Pelodiscus sinensis: one gene and its partners. The protein of the gene in region 1 purifies or fractionates together with the protein of each later gene. This does not show direct contact. Links are inferred from orthologs where the notes say so. Each region holds a gene or a part of one and is shown in the gene's direction. Other genes may lie near its edges.

What was found. Proteins that work in one complex are often made in the same cells at the same time.
Region 2: the proteins of TNFRSF1A (region 1) and IKBKG purify together in Homo sapiens (affinity purification with western blotting; 4 studies listed by BioGRID, with this or other methods). This does not show direct contact. The link is inferred for Pelodiscus sinensis from reciprocal best matches to the Homo sapiens genes TNFRSF1A and IKBKG.
Region 3: the proteins of TNFRSF1A (region 1) and CHUK purify together in Homo sapiens (affinity purification with western blotting; 3 studies listed by BioGRID, with this or other methods). This does not show direct contact. The link is inferred for Pelodiscus sinensis from reciprocal best matches to the Homo sapiens genes TNFRSF1A and CHUK.

What each region holds. Positions count from the first base shown.
Region 1 is NC_134711.1:141,515,974-141,523,211, forward strand, and holds the start of TNFRSF1A (tumor necrosis factor receptor superfamily member 1A), read left to right. Parts: upstream 1-4,238; 5' UTR 4,239-4,381; coding exon 4,382-4,420; intron 4,421-7,238.
Region 2 is NW_027465910.1:86,345-94,087, reverse strand, and holds the start of IKBKG (NF-kappa-B essential modulator), read left to right. Parts: upstream 1-4,734; 5' UTR 4,735-4,865; intron 4,866-4,889; exon of another isoform or gene 4,890-5,081; intron 5,082-5,404; 5' UTR 5,405-5,414; coding exon 5,415-5,598; intron 5,599-7,743. Other genes in the region: G6PD (glucose-6-phosphate 1-dehydrogenase), read right to left, coding at 2,316-2,455, 4,186-4,300. UniProt on the Homo sapiens protein: Regulatory subunit of the IKK core complex which phosphorylates inhibitors of NF-kappa-B thus leading to the dissociation of the inhibitor/NF-kappa-B complex and ultimately the degradation of the inhibitor.
Region 3 is NC_134718.1:7,059,423-7,066,359, reverse strand, and holds the start of CHUK (inhibitor of nuclear factor kappa-B kinase subunit alpha), read left to right. Parts: upstream 1-3,928; 5' UTR 3,929-3,986; coding exon 3,987-4,109; intron 4,110-4,496; coding exon 4,497-4,591; intron 4,592-6,937.

The sequences.
Region 1 (7,238 bases):
TCTCCCTGCCTTAACATGCCCTAATCAGTTTACCCAATGGCTACATCTAGATTGCATCCCTTTTTCATAAAAGGGATGCAAATTAGACGTATCGCAATTGCTAATGAAGCGGGGATTTAAATCTCCCCCGCTTTATTAGCATAAAAATGGCTGCCGCTTTTTTCCAGCTCGTGGCTTTGCCGGAAAAAAGCGCCAGTCTAGACGGGGATCTTTCGGAAAATAAAGCCTTTTCCGAAAGATCCCTTATTCCTTTTTTTAAGAGGAATAAGGGATCTTTTGGAAAAGGCTTTATTTTCCGAAAGATCCCCGTCTAGACTGGCGCTTTTTTCCGGCAAAGCTCCGAGCTGGAAAAAAGCGGCAGCGATGTTTATGCAAACGAAGTGGGGGGGATTTAAATTCCCACTTCATTTGCAATTGCGATGTGTCTAATTTGCATCCCTTTTACGGAAAAGGGATTCATTCTAGACACAGCCCATGTGTGTATCTACCAATAGCACAGGCCATTCCTTCCTGCTAATCATGAAATCTACGTCTACACTGGTAGCTTCTTGCGCAATAACTCTTTTGCGGAAGAGTTCTTGTGGAAAAACTCTTCCACAAGAGAGCATCTAAACTGGCATGTGCTTTTGCACAAGAGATGTGCTTTTGCGCAAGAGCATCCATGGCAGTGGAGACGCTCTCTTCCGCAAGAAAGCTCTGATGGCCATTTTAACCATAGGGCTTCTTGCGCAAGAAATTCATGTTGCTTGTCTACACTGGCCTCTTCTGGATGAACTCTTGCCCAAGAGGGCTTCTTCCTGAGAGCGAGCGTCAGAGTTCTCGTGCAAGAAGCCCTGATTTTCTACAGTACAGCATCAGTTTACTTGAGCAAGAACGCACGGTCAGTGTAGACAGGTGGCATATTTTTGCGCAAGAGTGGCCGTCTTCGCGCAAAAATGCGCCAGTGTAGACACAGCTGAAGAGTGGCTGGCAGGGTGAAACAGAAGCATGCAGATCTTATAAGCAAAAGATTATATAGGACTTAATACCTTCATTATACTTATTATACTTTTATACAAACACTAAAATACTACATTTTGGCTACACGCTCACCTGAATATTGGGACAAATGGTGTCCTAATCAAAAATTGGTTGGGACAAAGAGCTAAATATTGTGACAGTTCTGATTTTATCAAAATACAGGCCTCCCAAATCATGGATCCTGGAGTGGTTGCTCTGATTTACTGTACCCAAGGGATGGCCTTGGCTCTAGATGGACATGTAGCCTTAGTTTAAAACCACTGCTCTAGGGAATCCTTTGAAATCCGCATGGATCTCGGGACATCTGTTGGTTCGGGAAGCTGAAATCTAGGATCAGTAGGGGTAAAGCTGAGGTGGATAGAAATAATTGATTTTAAAAAATGGATTTTTTAATTTGTCGGATTTTTTTTATAAAATGCTTTTTGAGGAAAAAAAGATAGCTCAAAGATATCATGGAATAAGGATGATAAATTCTAATGTATGTAATGTTTAAGAAAAGTTATGTAAATGAGTTTCAATATGTCATGGATTAGGGACCCCATCTTATGGGGTTCCAGAGGTTTCTGTATAGATTATTTAGGATAGTTTTTCTATTTACCCAATGGGACTGAGTGCTCAGTCTAGAAAATACCATGAGAGATGCTTAGTTTTGCAGTTCTCAAATTGTGGTTTTGTGTCTCTAGAGCTAGCATGCTTGTTAATAACAAAAATGTTTTAAAACAAATAAATAATATATTTAGGTGAGAAATAACTGACCTCAACCCTATTGCCCCTCTGCAAATTTGTGTACACAGAGTGCCCTTACCTCTCTCTAAAAGTGCAACGTTTCAAAGAGTTACATGAATAGAAACCAGTATTTGACGTTTCTCATGTTGACCTGCCTGACATTAATTTAATTTTCAGTTTAAAATTATATTTCATTTAACTATTTCATTTAAAACCAATTTTAACAAAAACAAACTTGATTTAAAAAAACTTGAATGTTTAACTAAATTCAAAAAAGCATATACCTGTTTTGTTAAAATATTATATATTTGCTGTTGAAGAAAAAAATCCAGAATACATAGTATTGTTTTAGTTAATTAAAACAATTTAAATGTCTGTCTCGTGATGTTCTCCTCCTAATATAGCATAGCAAGAAAATCCACCAAATATGAATGATTAACCTGTTGAATTGGAGATAGTTCACCACCCAATGACTTAATAAATATCTGCTTCAATTACTTTTTGGTAAATGAAATAATCAAACAATCATTCATGTTCTGACATAACTTTAAAAGTACATTAAGAAATTTAATCTGAAATTTTTCAAAATAAATCACTATTTAAAAATGTATAGTGTGTACTTTCTAAAAATGAAACCTACATCTATCTTTGAATTGTGAAGAATATGTATTAAGGTAATGTTGGGGTCATGACAACTAACAAGAATGCACTTTTATGAAGAAAACTGTGATTAAATCAGTCTTCTTTAACTAGTGATTTAAATCATGATTTAAATCAATTTGATTTATATCAAATCCACCCTGGGTAAAGCTCATCCACTAACATAATGACATGAGAAAAACTTGGCAATTTTTTTCTTAATTAGGGTGTGACTTCATTCTTCACATGAGTACATTAGATTTTTTTTCCTGGGAAACAATCCTGTATGGCCATGTTAAAAAAAGTAGGTAAGCTAGACAAGACTGAACGAGCCTTTTCCATCTCTACTGCCAGAGCTGAGTGCAATCTGGGAAGAGCTTACCCTGCTTTTTCCTTCCGGCTGAGCATATCGTAAACCTGGGGACAAAGAAGGTGTGATCACATATTTGGGTAAAGGAGGGAACTTTTGTACAAGGGCCTTGTCTTAACTTATGAAGGGAAGAGACAACACTTAAATAAGGGAGTACTTTATCAGTTAGCCATATAAACCATGCTGTGTTCATATTCTTTTTTAACCATGGGCTTTTATTACTCTCTTTTAGTTTAGAGAGACAAGGTGGTTTAATTAATATCTTTGATTGGACCAACTTCTGTTGGGGAGTGAAATAAACTTCCAGCCTTACACAGAGCTCTTCTTTGTATCATTTTGTTCATTCTCTTAAATCACATTAAATAAAGCAGGAGTCATCTGATGTTATTGTAAGCACAGAAACCCTGTTTCATGATTAGCCATTTTTGCACAGCCTAACCAAATTGTTTAGACAGATAGTGAAGAGATAGTTACCAATTTTCTCTAGTTTCTGTTTTTTAAATATAGCCATAGGTAGTTCCAGATCAAAAAATATATTAAAAGATTATTGCCTAGCAAAGCTCTTGGAAGTTAGTTTAACAGACATAAAGTCTGCCTCCTTGTGTTTTGGTTTTATAATAGTCTTTGATTACTTGGATCTCATGCTAGTTTTTTTTCTGCAGGTCCTGTCTCATTTCTTAATGAAAAACATTAAAATAATTTTCTTGTTTGGATAAATAGCACAAAAGCAACCAAAGTGAACCAGAGTGTGTGCGCCTCAGTATAGTCCAGTGATTCAGGCCTAGTAACTGAGCACTTTGCAGTTCTGTGATCACCAGGGCCGGATTAAGGCATGGGCTAGCTGGGCAGCTGCCCTGGACGCCAACCTATGGGGGGCGCCAGATGGCAGCTGTAAGGGGGCACAAACTGTGGTTTAATGACAGTTAATCCAAAATCTTAAAAGGGTGAAAATAAAAGGAAAACGTCAGCATTTATTGTTGTGTTCACATTGTGTTCAAACAAATGTTGCAAGACTCTTTTATGGAAAGTGCAAAGTAACCTAAGAGTCTAGTCTCTATTACAGTATCTGCAGTGCTTTTTTTGTTTAAAAAAAAGGTGCGGGTACTCCAGGGGACGTTGTTGAGCTCTGACTGTACTGCATACGGGCAGTACCGTCACAAAAAAGCACTGAGTATCTGTATATAAATATATATTTAGATAATATGAAGAGCATCAGTTAGTGGCATATATATGAAGCATTATTCATAGAAAGTTTAATAGAGTTTTACAAAGGGTCAGTAGGGAATTTGAGTGTCTGCTACCCTGAAGGAAGGGTTAAAAACGACTGGGTCTTTGTCCCTTGGGGTTGGTTGTAGTGTGCATGGGGTGAGGGCTGAATGTTTGGTCCTTGTCCTGTGGGTAGGGGAGGGTTAATTCTGTGTGTTGGAAGTAGAGTTACTTGTTGCCCGGCTTCCTCGTCTGCCCCCTCCCCCCTTTCCTGTTGCTTTCTCGCCCTTTGCTGGCAGGAAGTTGCAGAACTTGTTAGTTTCAGTTTGTGTTCGGTCTCTTGGTGCTAGAGCCCCTGGCCTTGGGGGACTTCTCTGGGGGAGAAGGTCCTATCATGGGGACGTAGGAGACCACAAAACCATGGCCCGACGGGAGCCTTCCCCTGCGGTGGTGGCTACGGTGAGTGTCACTTGGGGCCGAGTGTCTAATTCCAATCGTCAGTCCCCAGGCTGGAGGTGCGGGTTAATGCGAGCGCGGGGCTGGGAGTGGTGCGGGCTCTGGCTGCTGACTGGGAGCCAAGTCTCCTGGCTTGTGTAGCTGGGTCTGGTGGGAGGAGAGTGGGAGTTAGGCCCCCTGAGTTTCTGATGTCTCTTCTGGCGAGTCCCTTCCACTCGGCAGGTCTCCTTTCCCCGCTCTGTAGAAATGCTGTTACTGGACTGATATCTGCCTCCTCTTGGGAGCTGCTGTCTCCGCTGGTGCCAGTCCCTAGAACAGTGGTCCCCTATCCCACGCTTTTTCCTTCGTGCCCCCCCTATCCCTGTTTGCCCCCCCCCCCCCCCCGCTGGGACTGGGAGCACAGACCATGGCTCCGGGAAGAGGGCGGGTGCGGCTCCGTAAGGGAGAGGAGGCTGGGGCCAGGAGCGGAGACTTGGCAGGGGACGAACTCAGAGTGGCAGGGCCCCTTCTCGTGGGGCACAGGCATGGCAGCTAAGGCCCCGGGGCCAGGAGTAGAGTTTGGCTGTGCTCCCTTCCTGTCCCACCCCAGCTGGCCTGGGCCTCAGCTGTACCCCCAATGAGGATGCCTCAGGAGGGGATGCAACCCACAACCACATTTCCTGGACCTCTTTGTTGTTGAACTTGATGAGTTCTATAGAGAGACAAGGTTGTTGAGGTAATACTTTTTTCTCTGTTGCTGAGAGACAGATGTGTGAGCCACACAGAGCTCTTCTACCTTTCCTACACCTGAGGAAGAGCTCTGTTCAGCTTGAAAGCTTGTCTTTTTCACCAACATAAACTGGTTATGTAAAAACTGTTATCTCATCCACTTTGTCTCTAATATCCTGGGACCCACGCAGCTACAATAACCTGCACTCACCTGATAAGTGATGGCAGACCTAGAGCTTGCATGTGTGCTGCTGAGGTTCCCTTACTCAAGGGAGAGTGAAGGTTAGCCTACTTGGATTGATGCAACCTGAGGTTGCTTTCTCCCACTATCTTACCACAGGAAGTAACACTTGAACCAGCAATCAAGGCAATTGCTTCTCCTGAAGTTTCCCTGCCACTTCCACACTCCTGCACATCTCTGCTTTCTGCAAATGCCATACTCCTCCAGTCCTCCCACTATCTACTTAGCCAATACTCCACAGTTCCACAAATTTTGATAAAGGATGTTGTGTTGTGATTCCTGTCAGTAATCTCCTGTGTCTCTCCCATTCCCAGGGGCACCATTTAGGGAGGAGGATTCTTGCTCCCTCCCCCACAAGTTTTGCACCATTATAGTTTTCCCAATAGAGAGGTGCTAGGGGAGAGCTTACCTGTGGCTATAGCTATCCTAAAATTTTCCTTAGGCACTCCTCTCAGAGCTGGGCACCCAGCCTGCCACTGTAGCCCTGGTAGTCTTCTTTTCTTTTGGAAGCTGATTCATGGCTTGCATGGAGCCAGGTGAGCTCACCTGATGCTAGAGATAACCATAACCGAGTGGGTCTCTGCTGAGCTGGGATGGGGGAGAGAAAGGGAGCCTGTCTGTGCTGGTGCCTCAGGCTCAGAAGTGGGAGCTGCAGCTACTGCTGTATAATACAAGCATTCAGTCTCCTGAATGAATGGCTTTCAGCTCAGACACACACAGTCTCCCCCTCACCATGCTCCTCAACACCCCCACTCCTATGCTAACACAGTTTCCCACATACACTCCCCCAATGCACGCACACACTTTAACACACTTGTATTATTATTATAATTTTATGTCTTGATATTTCCCGTTGAAATGCACAATGTACATATATTGTCTGTATTTTCTTCTTACAAAATTTGTCAAGGATTTAAGTACTGTTGTTAGTTTTTGACAAGTCTGCGAATTTCATAGTTTTATTTCTCTCATGCTTATTTTTAATTCTTTGAGTAGTGAGTTCTAAAGCTTATAACCTGTCCTGGCTGGAGTCATTATCATCACTTTTATTATCCTATTGTGCTTTGTCATTAATTATTTAAAGTGGCACAGACAAATAATAGTACCCTTCTAGCATGCAAATGTAGCTTGTACTCACCTTAGCAGTGCCAGTTTTTATTTAAAAAAAAAAAGCTAAACACATAGCTTTAGACTCCTTACTGCAGATGAAGATCATTTATTTGCAATCTGCATTTTTAGTTATATCTGGAAAATAACTTAAAATGTGTATGAAAATAAGTGAGGTTCCCAGTCTGATAGTAATGTTAGAGTCAGTGTTAGTGGGTCCCCGGCATAATTGTGATCATTAAACAGAAATGCCAAAATAACTAGAAAAATCAATTTGCATTCTTAAAAGAGGAAAAAAAATTAATCATATGTGCTAAAAATTAAGTACACACCTTTTTAGTGGAGTGAAAAAACAGATGACTAATATAGAGTAAATAATGGCCATAGAGAAAGTAAGCCGATTTTAAGCAGATTTATTTATTTTTATTTATCCCTAAAGATAGTGTACAAAGAATCAAACAGGTGTTTCTGATATCTGTGTTAAGTCTCCAGAACGGATTCTTGAAGTCTTAGGATTGTTTCTGGAGTAGGAGTGGTGTGGGTGAGTCTTGGAGTGTCAAGGAGGCTTTGTGTGGTAGGAAAGTTAAAAGGCAGGTAACTGACTGATAATGTAGTCGATACAATTTGCACTGGCTTCTGTTTCCCTCCACTTGCTGCCTCTCATACAGAAGTGGGTGGGAGGGGAAGCAAGTAATCAATTACTAGACTCTACTATTACAAAACTAAACTTTATTTATTAATCCCAATCACCTGACACTAGTCAGA
Region 2 (7,743 bases), on another chromosome or scaffold:
AGCGAGCTCAAACCAGCCCAGGGATACGACACACACTACAGGGATGTGCCAGCCCCACGCTGCATGGTAAGGGGGGGGAACTGCCCAACAAGCCCATACCAGCCTGGGGACACACCACACAGTCTGCTGCAGGCCAGGGAATGGCTGAGCAGGGAAAATGAGCCATGCCCACAGATACAGGGACATTTGTGTTTGCCACTCCCTGGCCCAAAGGGATACGCCATCTTCTCCTCAGCTCTTTGCCCTGCCTCCCACAGCCAGGTCCAGGCCACTGGCCTTCTGCCTAAGCCCAGGAAGCTCCTTATCTATCACAAACGCTGATAAGCGGCTTTCTCCTTCCTCCCTCCCTCTGCTGGGGGAGGGGGAGCAGGTGCCAGGCATCCAGCCTGTGCTGTCCCTGACAGGCCTGCAGAGAGACCGCAGCAGCTCCCATCACAGCTCACAGGGCCCAGTGCCTACCCAGGATTCTCTGCCTCAGCTCTGCCAACTTGAGGTGAACCCAAGTCACGTGGAGCTGGGACAACCCCTATATTTAAACAGGGAGCTGGCTTCTGGGGTCAGTCGCCCTGTGTGACCTGAGCCTAGCCACTGAATCGCTGTGCCTCAGTTTCCCCACTCTCCTGCTCTGTTGCAGGCAGGGTTGGGGGAGTGCCTGGGGTGTCTGGCCCTGCCAGGAGATGTGTGGGGGACTGCTAGGAGCAAGGAACACCAACTGCCTGGGGCTGTGCTCCAGAGAGCCGGGGACTCTAAGAAGGCTCTAGGGGACTTAGTGGCATCCTAGACCTGGGATGGGGCCAAAGAGGCTTGTGGGGTGTATCACCAGGGCAGCCAGGAGCAGAACAGGGAGGGAGCTGTGCCACCCAACCAAACATCATGAGAGATGGGGAATTGCACCCAACTTGGGTAGCTGCCTTTCATAAAGGCTGGGAGAAAAGTGGAAAGGATGGAGAGGAGAAAGGAGCCAGAAAAGTTACTCCCAGGCTGGAGGAAAATGCACAGAAAGCCTCAGAAGGCTGCATCAGACCAGCATGTCAAGGGGAGATGGGTTCCTGTGCTGTGGAGAAAGGTGGAGAGAGTGGGAACCAAAGCCCCAGAAATTGAGACCAGCAGTAATGCACCTGTGGGGCGTGCAGACAGCGGCAGCAACTCAAGCAAAATCAGGGCTTCTCCGCCTCTTGCTGCCTACTCTGCTGGCCGCCTGCCTGGGGAACCCGGGGCCAAGTGGGGGAGTCTTTGGCCTGAGACACAAGCACATTGAAGTAGATGTCTCAGGGTGGGTGAGCGAAGCTAGCAAAGGTGTGTTTGTGTGTATTACTCTCCTCAGCTACAGGGAGCTAGGGTGAGCAGGGGGCTTCCACATGCCACCCCCACCACAAGGACACTGCCCAGCCACCCCCAGCATGGGAGTGGCTCCAGCAGCCGTGGTCTCCTCTGACCACCCCCACGTTGCTTATCTTGTGGTTCCCCATGGGCACAGCTGCTCAGCAGTGCCCAGCACTTCCCTTTGTCCAAATGCAACAGATCCCACAACGGGAGGGACATGTTGCGACCCCTCAGAGCAGGCAGGCAACCGGAAGCAGGGTAGAAAAGGGTTATGCTGAAGTTCTGGGGAGGGAACTGAGGCAGTTTCTGTGAGTTTGAGGGGCACCGGGGTGGTTTCCAGGGCCTAAGGGATGACTATGGTGAGAGGCAGTTTGGGAGGCTTCTGGGGTGTCAGGGCAAATTCAGAGTAGTGGGTGGATTTGGGAGCAACAAGACGGTGTCAATCACACACCTCTGCTTGCTGAAATCTCACTACTGCTCACGGAATATAAACGAAGGGTTGGCCAAGCCAGGGCTTGACCTCACTCCATCCCATGGCAAGCACCAGCACCATCCCAGGCCTTGGGTGGCCCCATGACAGGGCACATAGCTCAACCCATCAGGGATTAGTGGCCCCCCGCCCCCACTGGAGGCAAGTGCTGCCCGCCCAGGTTACACAACACCAGGCAGGAAGTTAAGTCACTCTGCCCAGTCATGGTAGCTGGGATGGCTCGGCTGCAGCTCCCAGTGCTCAGTATCGCCCCTGGTACAACTCCTGCCTCGCCCTGGAGGCATGAGCCGCAGAGCCCACGGGAGGCAGGAGCTCAGGGGAATCTGGCAGCTGAGCAGAGCTGTGGGGAAGATTAGTTTAGCCATCCCCTCACCAAGTGCAGGGTCCTGCAGGGAACTCCCTGTTCCCCCACAGCATTGCCTGTCCACAAAGCAGGGTGCAAGAGGAACGGCCCAGCTCAGGCACCCCACATGGGGCATGGCCTGGCTGACTGGGGACTCACCGAGGCCCCGAGGATGATGAAGATGTGGGTGTCAGACCGCAAGAAGTCCTGGTCCTGGCACAGCTCTTCCCGCATCATCCCGCACACCTGTGAGCGACTCAGCTCCTGTGGAAAGGCCATGGTGCTGGCACGGCTGCTCCCTAGAGCAGAGAGACCATGTGAACCGCCTGCCTCAGAGGGCTGACCCAGGCTGGGCTCCCTCCCCAGCCCCAGGCAGCCAGGGACAAGTCTCTGCTTGGCCAACAGCAGGGCAGAGCCCCATGGTGGGGGAAGGGAAATGGGATTGTGGGGGAAGAGTGGCCCTGAGCGAGGATGGGGGAAAATGGGGCGGCAGCAGGTGGGGGTGAAGAGAAGCCCCGGGTGGGACCAGGGGGTTGGAGGTTTGTCACTTCTGGGTCCCATGAGGCCCTGAGCAGTCTGGCTTTTTCCCCCCAGGGGCCCCTCCCCCAGGACAGCCCCCCAATGCCCCCAGCACAGCCCCCCGGGGTCCCCCAACCGCCCAGCACAGCCCCCCAACACCATGCCCCCTACCCGAGCCCGGCCCCCCAACACCATGCCCCCTACCCGAGCCCGGCCCCCCAGTGCCCCCCGGCTCCCCGGCACAGCCCCCCAACACCATGCCCCCTACCCGAGCCCGGCCCCCCAGCTCAGCCCCCCAACACCATGTCCCCTACCCGAGCCCGGTCCCCCAGCTCAGCCCCCCAACACCGTGCCCCCTACCCGAGCCCGGCCCCCCAGTGCCCCCCGGCACAGCCCCCCAACACCGTGCCCCCTACCCGAGCCCGGCCCCCTAGTGCCCCCCGGCACAGCCCCCCAACACCATGCCCCCTACTCGAGCCCGGCCCCCCAGTGCCCCCCGGTTCAGACCCCCAGTGCCCCCCGGCTCAGACCCCCAACACCATGCCCCCTACCCGAGCACGGCCCCCCAGTTCCCCCCGGCACAGCCCCCCAACACCATGCCCCCTACCCGAGCCCGGCCCCCCAGTGCCCCCCGGCACAGCCCCCCAACACCGTGCCCCCTTCCCGAGCCCGGCCCCCCAGTTCCCCCCGGCACAGCCCCCCAACACCGTGCCCCCTACCCGAGCCCGGCCCCCCAGTGCCCCCCGGCACAGCCCCCCAACACCGTGCCCCCTACCCGAGCCCAGCCCCCCAGTGCCCCCCGGCACAGCCCCCCAACACCGTGCCCCCAACCCGAGCCCGGCCCCCCAGTGCCCCCCGGCTCAGCCCCCCAACACCGTGCCCCCTACCCGAGCCCAGCCCCCCAGTGCCCCCCGGCACAGCCCCCCAACACCGTGCCCCCAACCCGAGCCCGGCCCCCCAGTGCCCCCCGGCTCAGCCCCCCAACACCGTGCCCCCTACCCGAGCCCGGCCCCCCAGTGCCCCCCGGCTCAGCCCCCCAACACCGTGCCCCCTACCCGAGCCCGGCCCCCCAGTGCCCCCCGGCTCAGCCCCCCAACACCGTGCCCCCTACCCGAGCCCAGCCCCCCAGTGCCCCCCGGCTCAGCCCCCCAACACCGTGCCCCCTACCCGAGCCCGGCCCCCCAGTGCCCCCCGGCTCAGCCCCCCAACACCGTGCCCCCTACCCGAGCCCAGCCCCCCAGTGCCCCCCGGCACAGCCCCCCAACACCGTGCCCCCTACCCGAGCCCGGCCCCCCAGTACCCCCCGGCTCAGCCCCCCAACACCGTGCCCCCTACCCGAGGCCGGCCCCCCAGTGCCCCCCGGCTCAGCCCCCCAACACCATGCCCCCTACCCGAGCCCGGCCCCCCAGTGCCCCCCGGCTCAGCCCCCCAACACCATGCCCCCTACCCGAGCCCGGCCCCCCAGCTCAGCCCCCCAACACCATGCCCCCTACCCGAGCCCGGCCCTCACCGCTCCGCGCTCCCCCACCGCTCCCCACGTCTGGATCGCGCTCCGCCGGCGGCCCAACGCTCGCCCGGCTCCCCATCCCCGCCCCGCCCCTGCCAATCCCCGCCCGGCTCCCCATCCCCGCCCCGCCCCGCCCCTGCCAATCCCCGCCCGGCTCCCCATCCCCGCCCCGCCCCTGCCAATCCCCGCCCGGCTCCCCATCCCCGCCCCGCCCCTGCCAATCCCCGCCCGGCTCCCCATCCCCGCCCCGCCCCTGCCAATCCCCGCCCCTCCCCGCCCCTGCCAATCCCCGCCGGCTCCCCATCCCCGCCCCTCCCCGCCCCTGCCAATCCCCGCCGGCTCCCCATCCCCGCCCCTCCCCTGCCAATCCCCGCCGGCTCCCCATCCCCGCCCCTCCCCTGCCAATCCCCGCCGGCTCCCTATCCCCGCCCGGCTCCCCATCCCTGCCCAGGCCAATCCCCGCCCGGCTCCCTATCCCCGCCCCTGCCAATCCCCGCCCGGCTCCCCATCCCTGCCCAGGCCAATCCCCGCCATTCTAGGCTACGAACGTCTCTTCCGCTTCCGGGTCCCGGGGAAGCACTTCCGGGGGAGACAAGGCCGCGATCCCGGAAAAGGGAAGTGGCAGCCGGGGGCGACGAGTATCCGAACCGCGATCCAGGCGTCCGAGTTCTCCTGTCGCCGAGGTTGGGGATTTCCGGCCCCGCCCCCGCCCCCGCCCGCCAGGCGTAGGGCTCAGCCGGTGGGAGCACCGGCACCAGGATCAGCCAGGACAGCCCAGGCCAGGGCCCCGCCCCCTCCCAACCCCCGAACCCACGCAGCAGCCTGGTCCTAGCTCCTCCTCCGGCCTTTGCCCTGCTTTCCAGGCTAAAGGTGCCATGCCCTCCCCGTGCCGGCTCGGGGTACGAAGGATCACAGCCAGTGTGTACATGAGGGAGGTTGTCACCCTGAAATCCCCATCCAGGGATTGGTGCAGAGCCCAGGGAAACTGAGGCACACACACACAGGGTTACCACAGGATGGTAGAACTCACGTGCACTCTTACAAGGGGAATACAATCCTCTGCTTTGTCACTTTTCTGTTCCCTTCAAGACCAAACTGAGTAGGGTCACTTTAGCTGGTGAAGTTCAGATGCACCAGTTCGTGACAGGGCATCAGTCCCCCCCCTTCCCCAGCCCAGGGACCCTCCGTTTCCCAGGTCTCATAGTGCCATGTCTCTTCACAGGCTAGACTGGATGAACGGGACCCGGCAACGGCGGAGTTGTGAGATGGTGCAGCCAGGCGGGTGCCCAGGCAGTGACTGCAGTGCTCTTGGTGAGGACTCATCCCTTGGCAAGGTGGCGGCTTGGCAACTACCCCCTGAGCTGGCCGGGCATGAGGCCCTGCAGCGCTTCCTGCTGGAAAACCAGGATCTGAAAGGTGAGGATGAATGAGTACCCTGGACTGGTACAGCACTGAAAGGGGTGGCTGGGGCCCAGTTCCCTGCAACCTGGACCTGGGCTGCAGCATGTTGCTTGGCTGACCAAGCCATACTGCCCAGTCGTGGGTCCAGTGGGGCTCGGGCAGCCTCCCAGGAAGCACCTCCAGGCAGTCAGGAGGCTCCATATGCTGCGCCCACCCCAAGCGTCAACCCTGCAGCTCCTTTTGGCCAGGATCCTCAGTCAGTGGGGGCTGTGGGTGCAGCGCAAACCTCCTGCCAGCACCTCAGCATAGGAGCCACAGGAGGGACTTGCCACTGCTTCTGGGAGCTGCTTGTAAATCTTTACCCTGAGCCCCACTCCACCCCAGCCCTGATTCCCCTCCTGCTCTCTGAACCCCTGGGTCCCAGCCCCAGAGCCTGTGCTCTCTCCCACACCCCAACCCCCTGCATCAGCCTAGAGCCACCTCCCACATTCCAACCCTAAATGGCCCCTTCAAGGATTGAACTCACAACGGTGGGTTTAGCAGGCCAATGCTCAAACCACTGAGTTATCCGTCCCCCCTGTTCCCTGTGGAGGGGGAGTGCTGTGCTACAGCTGTTATCTGCACCCTGTGTGTTTGTGTGTATGGGGGTGGGTGTGCTGCAGTTGCTCCCTGTGTGTGTGTGTGTGTGTGTGTGTGTGTGTATAGGGAGGGGTGGGGTGCTACAGTTGCTCTCTGTGTTTGTATGGGGTGAGGCGCTGCTGTTGCTCCGTGTGTGTGTGTGTGTGTGTGTGTGTGTGTGGATGGGGAGAGGTGGGGTGCTACAGTTGCTCTCTGTGTTTGTATGGGGTGAGGCGCTGCTGTTGCTCCCTGTGTGCGCATTGGGGGGGGAGTGGGGCAGCTCCTCTGTGTGTGTATGGGGGGAGTGGGTGCTGGAGCTGTGCTGTGTGTAGGGAGGTGGGGCACTGTGGTTGCTCCCTGTGTGTGTATGAGGGTGGGTGCTGGAACTGCTTCCTGTGTTTTTATGGCGGGGAGTGGGCGCTGGAGCTAGTGTGTGTGTGTGTGTGTGTGTGTGTGTGTGTGTGGGTGGTGGGAAGTGGGCACTGGAACTGCTGTGTGTGTGGGGGGGGGAGCGGGGGCTGTGGCTGCTCCGTGTGTGTGGGGGGGGGAAGGAGCGGGGGCTGTGGCTGCTCCGTGTGTGTGGGGGGGGGGAGGAGCAGGGGCTGTGGCTGCTCCCTGTGTGTGTGTGTGTATGGGAAAGTAGGTGCTGCTCCCTGCTGGTCATGCTCGGGGGGGGGGGGGGGGCAGGGGGAGGCAGCTGACAGGTTCAGAGTCCGGTCTATGACCTAGCCTGCACCTCTTTCTTGGGAAGTTGCCTTTTGCCTGGGACTGGGCCCAAGCACCATTGCAGGGGAGGCCTCTGGCCTCCGAGGCTGGGCCTGCAGGTGCCAGTCACCACAGTCCCTCTTCATGGCTCCCTGCAGGGAATCCAGCCCAGCGAGACTCGTGTGGGAGGCTTGGCCCCTTGAGTGGGCGCTGTGGGCCAGGGTATTTGCAATGCCATCCAGGAGTCTTGTCAAAAAGACCCCATTTCGGGAAAGATATGGCGACATTGGAGATGGTGCAGAGCAGCAGCCGGGATCCAGCCTGTTGAGGGAAGGCTGACCCTGGGCTTGTTTACTTTGTAGAGGAGATAGAGGGGACATGACAGGCTGTTGCAAGGAGGAGGGGAGAATTGGCCTCTGCGTCTGGGACAAGAACCAATGTGCTTAAACTGCAGATCGGCAGGGTTAGGTTGGACATGAGGGAAAACGGTCAGAGTGGCACTGTAATCAATTGCCCAGAGACGTTGTGGAGCATGTCAGACAAATGCCTGCAAGGATGGTCTAGAACAGGGATGGGCAAATTTTAGGCTGCATCCTGCCCCTTTGACCTTTTCCTCTGGCTTTCAAGGGCTTGCCCTGCTGTGGGTCTCCACACACCTCCCCACCACAAGCTCCAGCTCCTATTGGCTGTGGGTCCTGTGCCCTGGGAGCTGTGGGGGCAGAGCTGGAGGAGGAATGGGCTGCTGCTTTCAGGAGCCGTTTCAGATTAGCCCTGCCCAGATCTTTCTCTGCCCCATACCAAACTTACTCCTTGCTCCCAGAGGGAGGCGGGGAGCAA
Region 3 (6,937 bases), on another chromosome or scaffold:
GTTAGAAGTCAGAGAGAGCCGGACTTTTCTGTGGTGGGTGGATATAAGAAAGAAGTCTTTGTTGGTGTGCCAGTCATGTCTCTGAGATCAACAGAATTTGTTGTTGGAAGAGCAGGTGCAGCTTTATTTGCTTCAGTGGAATAGTACCAGTTTATGCCAGCTGACTAGCTTTTGGGTTCCCTTGTCTGGATAGAGCTTAAATAGTTCCTGCTCTTCTTGTTGGATCAATAAATAACTAGCAGCAGACTAGCTTGCTGTGTCCTTCGGACCCATTACTCCTTGGAAACCACATCTGCGGCAGAAGTAGGGACAAGCTAAAAAATAAAGTCCATGTTTTCTTTTAACTCCGACACACGGTGGTTTGACTTCATGCAGCTGCCTGATCAGCATTACACAGAGAAGAAGCCTGATTTCAAGCAAAGTTGAGTCTTTACTCGGTCTGGCTCAGAGGGAGCTCCGGTGAGGAAATGGGAACAAAAATATAAGACTTCATAAAGCAGCTAGATTCCATGAATAAAACCAGACAATGAGTATCAATAGTGGGTTTTTTTCTAGTATAGGAAGTTCCTGGTCTTCCTGAAGAGATGATTGGGTAGCTTCTGGGCAGTGGCACAAATATGTTTGCATGACTATTTAAAGGAATGCAAGAGTTTAATACCCCCTGTGCACTGGGAAGCATAAGGGCATGATTTTCAGCAGGCTGAGATGTGCAAATTCATTATGCTTTTACTTTGGTTTCAGCATACAAACATAAAGATGCTTCGTGCTGGGAGCTCAGGCCCTCTGTGGACAGGGGCTGCCAACACCCTTTGGTGCTACCTCTGATGCAGTGTCAACAGTGCAGAGAGGCAGGTGGGAGCTGTTTTTTAAACCAGCTCTCTGCATAGACCAGTTTCTGCCTGCTGACCCATGCTGCTGCCTCTGCATTAGAGGCAGCAGCACAGTGTGGCAGGCAGCTTCCCTGCGGGCTCTTCATTTAAAACTCGGACCAGTGTGTTGGGACTGAACCAGCCTGCTGGTGCAAATTTTAAAGGGAGGGAAGGAGAGAGAGAAAGAGAGAGTGTTTGTGTGTTGTGGTTAATTGGGACAGGCAATTGCTTATAGATTAACAATCGGGTAAACAGTTATTCGGCTTAGACACTAACATCCCTACTTGTGGCTTGTGTGGCTCAAGGGGAGTGAAAACACTCATAATAATATCTCTGTGCATTGTGCTTTTTGCAGCTGGAAATGTGGCTTTGAGGGTTCCTCCATCCACACTACTGGAGCAGCTCAGATCAGGAGAAGAAAAGGGATGTGGGGTCAACCTGTTCCAAGAGATCCTGCCAGCCTCTGGTGCTGCACACACTGAGTAGAGGGCTTGCAGAAGCACCTTTGTGGGGCGAGTGGAAAGGGTTAGTGCAGAGAGGAGAAACAAAGAAGAAAAGGACAGAAACGTGCAGCAGTTCATGTTAGCGCGCTCAGCGCCAGACGGACATGTTGGAGACTTCAGGTGCAAGTAACCCTGGTTTGCCTCCCGTTGCAGTCTATTGATAACTGCATTCTGAGACCTCTCTACACTTCCTGCCCCCACATTCTCCACGTGTTTCTGTGCTACTGCAGTTCTACCACATCACCCTGAGGGAGAGTACACGCAGTCAGAACTGCATATATGCTGATGAATGAGACACATTGTGTGTGTGACATGAGAATGGCTATTCTTTCCCCTTCAAAAGTTATTTTCCCTGTATTTGTAGAGTTTCATTCAGTTACAGTTATTTTTGGTTTTATGAGTTTGTAATAAAAGTCTATTTATGAAAACTTAATTCTTTAATTCACATCCTATGGTAGCTGGGCCTGACATTGCACAATAATAGCACTTTGTGTATTTGCAATGTTATATTACCATCTTGCCTCTTGGGCCCAAACCTATGAGCCTTCAGTACCCCAGTTTCACATCCTAAGTTCCCCTCAGTGAGTCTCTTTGAACTGGACTCTTGGGGAAAACTTGCACACCCAAGTGGAGCAATGCACCCCTAAATTCCTTAATCTGGAGTGACTTTCAGACAGTGTTGTAAAAAGCAGAAGGATTTATTAATAGTCAGGAACACAATGAAGAAAGTCCTTGGTAAACAAGGGAACAGAGTTACAGGAAAGTCCATCCGGGTTGGTCCTGAATCCAAAGCTCTCTCTGACCCCTCCTGAGTCCCAGTCTGCTTCCAGGTGCTTCCCTTGCAGTTTGGAAAATTTGTTTTTCCTATAACTTTTATCATGTTTAGCATAAAATATATATTTGATATACCCATCAGAGATGCACTTTTACAGCAGTTCAGAGGGGAGCTGGCATTAAGATATTGGCTTAGAAAAATGATGAATTACTAACTTAAAGTAAATGTTTAGTAAAATAACATTAAGCTCTTTAAGAGCTTATTTGTGGCTCTTGGTCACTTACAAAAGAGGAATATATATTTAAAGATGAGGCAACTGAGGGATTGAAATGTGAAGTCACTTGCACAAGGTTGGGCAGCAGCATGGCGGCAAAAACAGAACACATCTCCCGACTCAGTCCTGTCTTTAACCAGAAGCCCCTCCTTTCTTTTGTCCATTTGCGGAATGAGATCTGGAGTTTCATATTTGTGGAGATTCCATGTGCCTCCAGTTATTTATCTATATAGTGTGTCCAAATTACTAGCCACCGTTAGGTAATATACAATTGTACTTAAAATGAAGAGATGAAGGCAGTGATGCAAAACCATGTGGCTACGTCTAGACTGGCATGATTTTCCGCAAATGCTTTTAACGGAAAAGTTTTTCTGTTAAAAGCATTTGCGGAAAAGAGCATCTAGATTGGCACGGACGCTTTTCTGCAAAAGCACTTTTTGCGGAAAAGCGTTCATGCTAATCTAGACGCAGTTTTGCGCAAGAAAGCCCCGATTGCCATTTGCGCCATTGGGGCTTTTTTGCGCAAAACAGCTTTTAGCTGTCTACACTGGCCCTCTTGTGCAAAAATGTTTCTGGAAAAGGGCTTTTGCCCGAACGGGAACGTCAAAGCATTTGCACAAGAAGCACTGATTTCGGACAGTAGAACGTCAGTGCTTTTGTGCAAAATCAAGCAGCCGGTGTAGACAATTGGCAAGTTTTTCCGCAAAAGCAGTTGCTTTTGCGGAAAAACTTGCCAGTCTAGATGCAGCCTGAATGTATGGCATCTGCGGTAAGGTAGTGCTGCCTAGTTTACATTTCATTTTCCATAGTAAAATGACTTTTAAAAATGAAAAGTGAGGACTGCATCTGAGTAGCCCTAATTGTACCTTTATGAAGTTTTTGGTTACTTTGTTCATGAAGGGACTTGGCAGAATTTGTTTTTATTACAATAAATTTTGACACATGTTTAATTAAGGCAATTTTTTAGATTCTTACCTATTTAAGTTTTAAGTTAAAGGAAATTATGGGAGGGGGTCAGACAGTTATTTAATGACAGACACATTTATAAAGCACTTTGCCTTGTAAACACACGCTGTCCAAACTATAACAAGTACCCTTAAATGGCGTGGCATGTTCCTGAGTTGCTGCTTCTCTGTAATCTGGGGCTGTAACTGATGCAGATGTTTTTTCCAGCTGTGGGGAAGCTGACAGGCTCTGATACAAATCAAGTCCTACCAAGCCTACCCGGGGGGAGGAATGGGTGGCGCTGCCCCCCCCCGCAAAGCTCCCGCAGAGCTCTGCTCCAGGCGCCACGCGCAGGGCACGTGCTGCAACACATCCCCGCCCCTGCAGGGAGGTGAGGCCGAGGGGCGTGGCTCAGCCGGGGAGGCGTGGCTTGATCTGCATGCGGACCGCGCGCTCCCTCGTCGCTGTCGGGTGGGCGGGGCCACGGGCTCCCGCACGCGCCTCGGCCGTTGGCGAGGAGGAGGGGCGGGAAGCGCGAGCGACGCCGTTCCCCGCCCCCGCCCGGCGGGAAGTGACGCGCGCGCTGGTTTCCGGGCGAGCGGCCGGGGCCCGGGCGAGGCATGGAGCGGCCCCCGGTGGGCGCGGCGCTGCGGGGGCAGCCCGCGGGCAGCTGCGGCCCCTGGGAGATGCGGGAGCGGCTGGGGACGGGCGGCTTCGGCAACGTCTGTCTCTACCAGCACCAGGTGCGGGGGGGCGGCGCCGACCCCTCCCCCCCGGGTTCGCCCTGTCAGTCGCCCCGCCCCCCCGGGAGCCCGGCCCGTCGCTGCCGGGTCACCCCGCAAAGCCTGCTGGGTAACCCCTCCCCCCCCCCGCTCACTCTCCTCCCAGGGGCTCCTGCCCCCGCACCGCCACCCGTGTGCAGCGGGGGGGGGGATCTGTGTGGAGGGGGGGTATTTGGGGCTGGTCACTGGGATCAGGCTAATGGATTGACCCCCCCCTTAACCCCCCCTTGGCCCCCTCCCGTCCCCCAGCTTTCTGGCCCGACACTGACCCCCCCGCACCGTGCCCTTCTGCTCCAGCCTCTTGCAACCCGGCTGGGGCCGCAGCACCTGTGACTGTTTGTGTTGCAGGAGCGGGGTGACAAGATCGCCATCAAATCTTGCCGGTTGGAACTCAGCACCAAAAACAAAGACCGGTGGTGCCATGAAATCCAGATAATGAAGAAGTAAGTAGGTTGCATCATGGCCTTGTCTTTTGCTTTTGGGAGGCAGTGTTCTCAGATCCACGGGGGAGCGTTTCCCCTTCAGAGATGTCACTAGCTACAGACTTCTTTCGGTCTTATTCACTCTCAAGCTTCAGGGGGTAGCCGAGTTAGTCTGTACAGGGGAAACTTAAAAAACAACAAATAGTCTGGTAGCACTTTAAAGACTAACAAAACATGTAGGTGGTGGTGTGATGCCATCTACATGTTTTGTTAAACTGCAACCAGACTATTTGTTGTTCTAAAGAAGGTTATCGTTAGCCTCCAGGGAAAGAGCTGTATTTTAAAAACAGTTTTACACTGATACCATAAAGGGAAAACACTGTAATTATGATACATTTAAAAAGCTCTTCTTTTCGTGGTCTTGCAGTTTGATGGGAAAACTACGCTTGGCAGTGAGGTGTGTCTGTTTGCTCTTGGCACAGAAGTGAACATTGTGAGACGGGTTCATAGAAATACTTTTGGCGGTTTTGCATTTTGATTACTTTAATATCAGAGAGAACATTGAGAGGTGACTTGATCAATGCATCTAGGCACTAATAAACACAAAAGGGAGCTCAAAATGGATTTTTTTTAAACCTGGTAAACAGAGAATGGGGTCTTAGAGCTGGAAGCTGAAATTGGACAAATTCAATCCTGAAACGAGACAAGGTTTCCTAGCATTGGAACAGTTTACTTGAGAAGTGGGGCAACTACCATTGTTTGGAGTCTTAAAAAAATCTTGTCGTACTGACTGCCAGATTTGGGGTCAGGGAGGATGGTATGGGGTATGGTTCACTTTCAGGGGTCATATGGCCATGGCTAACTTAATCAGTAGAGCCCTGTGGGGATACAAATATCTGTCTGTGGATGCACATATCTGCTGATCAACATTGGCATATGTTGACCTGTAGAGCTCTACTCCCAAGAGGCACTGTAACCAAAGAGAGGAGCATGGTCATCTTGTCATTCCCAGAAGCCAGTGACAACAACTCCTTCCTGCCATGTGGCTGTACTGTCTCCAGTACCACCCCTAGCGGGGCTGTAGGACCTCAGACAGAAGATGGCAGGGTTGGGGGAGGGGGCGTACAATCACACTGCTGAGACGAGCTGCTGGCGCAGGGCACTGGCTCCTAGGAGCAATGGGACCATGGAATCATAGAATACTAGAACTGGAAGGGACCTTGAGAGGTCATCGAGTCCAGTCTCCTGCCCTCACAGCAGGACCAAGCCCAATCTAGATCATCCCTGATAGTCTATCTAACCTTCTCTTAAATATCTCCAGTGATGGAGATTCCACAGTCTCCCTAGGCAGTTTATTCCACTGTTTAATCACCATGTTCTTCTCCTTTAGTCACACTGCCTCTTGACAGTAGAGCCCTTCAGGTCAGCAGATACTGATGTCTATCCGCAGATATCTGCATCTGTGGAAACATTTGTGTAGGCATAGGGCTCTACTAATCAATTTCATGCTGTTGAAGGGGCCTCCTGCATTTGTGCCACCTCCATCTCTCCCATCTGCTTGTGGGTCACAACAGTTTAGTTGAACCCAAGTCATTGGACTAAATATAAAGGTAACGAGGTGAAACTTAATGGCCTGAATTTGAGGCTACGATTGTCATGGAGGTCACAAAATCTGACTTTTTTGTGACCAGTGACATTTTTTCATTTCAGCCCTTGGCAGCAGGGGACCTTCCCAGTTCCTAGCTTTAGTTTAGCTCTAGTTCATATGTTAGTTTCATCCAGGATGGAATATTCTTTACTGCTGGGATTTGAACCCAAAACTCTTGTCCCACTCCAATCCTTAGCCTGAAGATTCTTTCGACTCATCCATGATCTGCCTATTCTTAGAAAATCTGAATTCTGTTTATTGCCCCTGGGTAACTTACTGGAGTAAACTTGTTGACAATTATGTGCTGGCCATCATGCTTCTAACATTAAATGTTTTGGGAAAAGAAATCTTAGGCTACACAGCAGCATTATTTTTGAATAATGCAGAGCACTTCTACACAGGAAGTCCGTTATTTTGAAATAAAATCGAAATAATAGGCTTCTTACTCCGACTTTGATAAACCTCATTGTATGAGGAGTAAAGGAGGTCGGGGAAGAGTGCTCTATTTCAAAATAACTGCTGTGTAGACAGCACTAAAAGTCGAAATAAGCTATTTCAACTTAAGCTACTCAATTAGCAAAGCTCAAGTTGTCGTTTATTTCGAGTTTAGCACTGCTGTGTAGATGTGCCCTCTCTGTCTTCACATTTGAAACACATTTTATTGATTCATCTGCTTGTTGATCTTCTGAAATACCTGTATCAAGATTTTCGTCATGCTT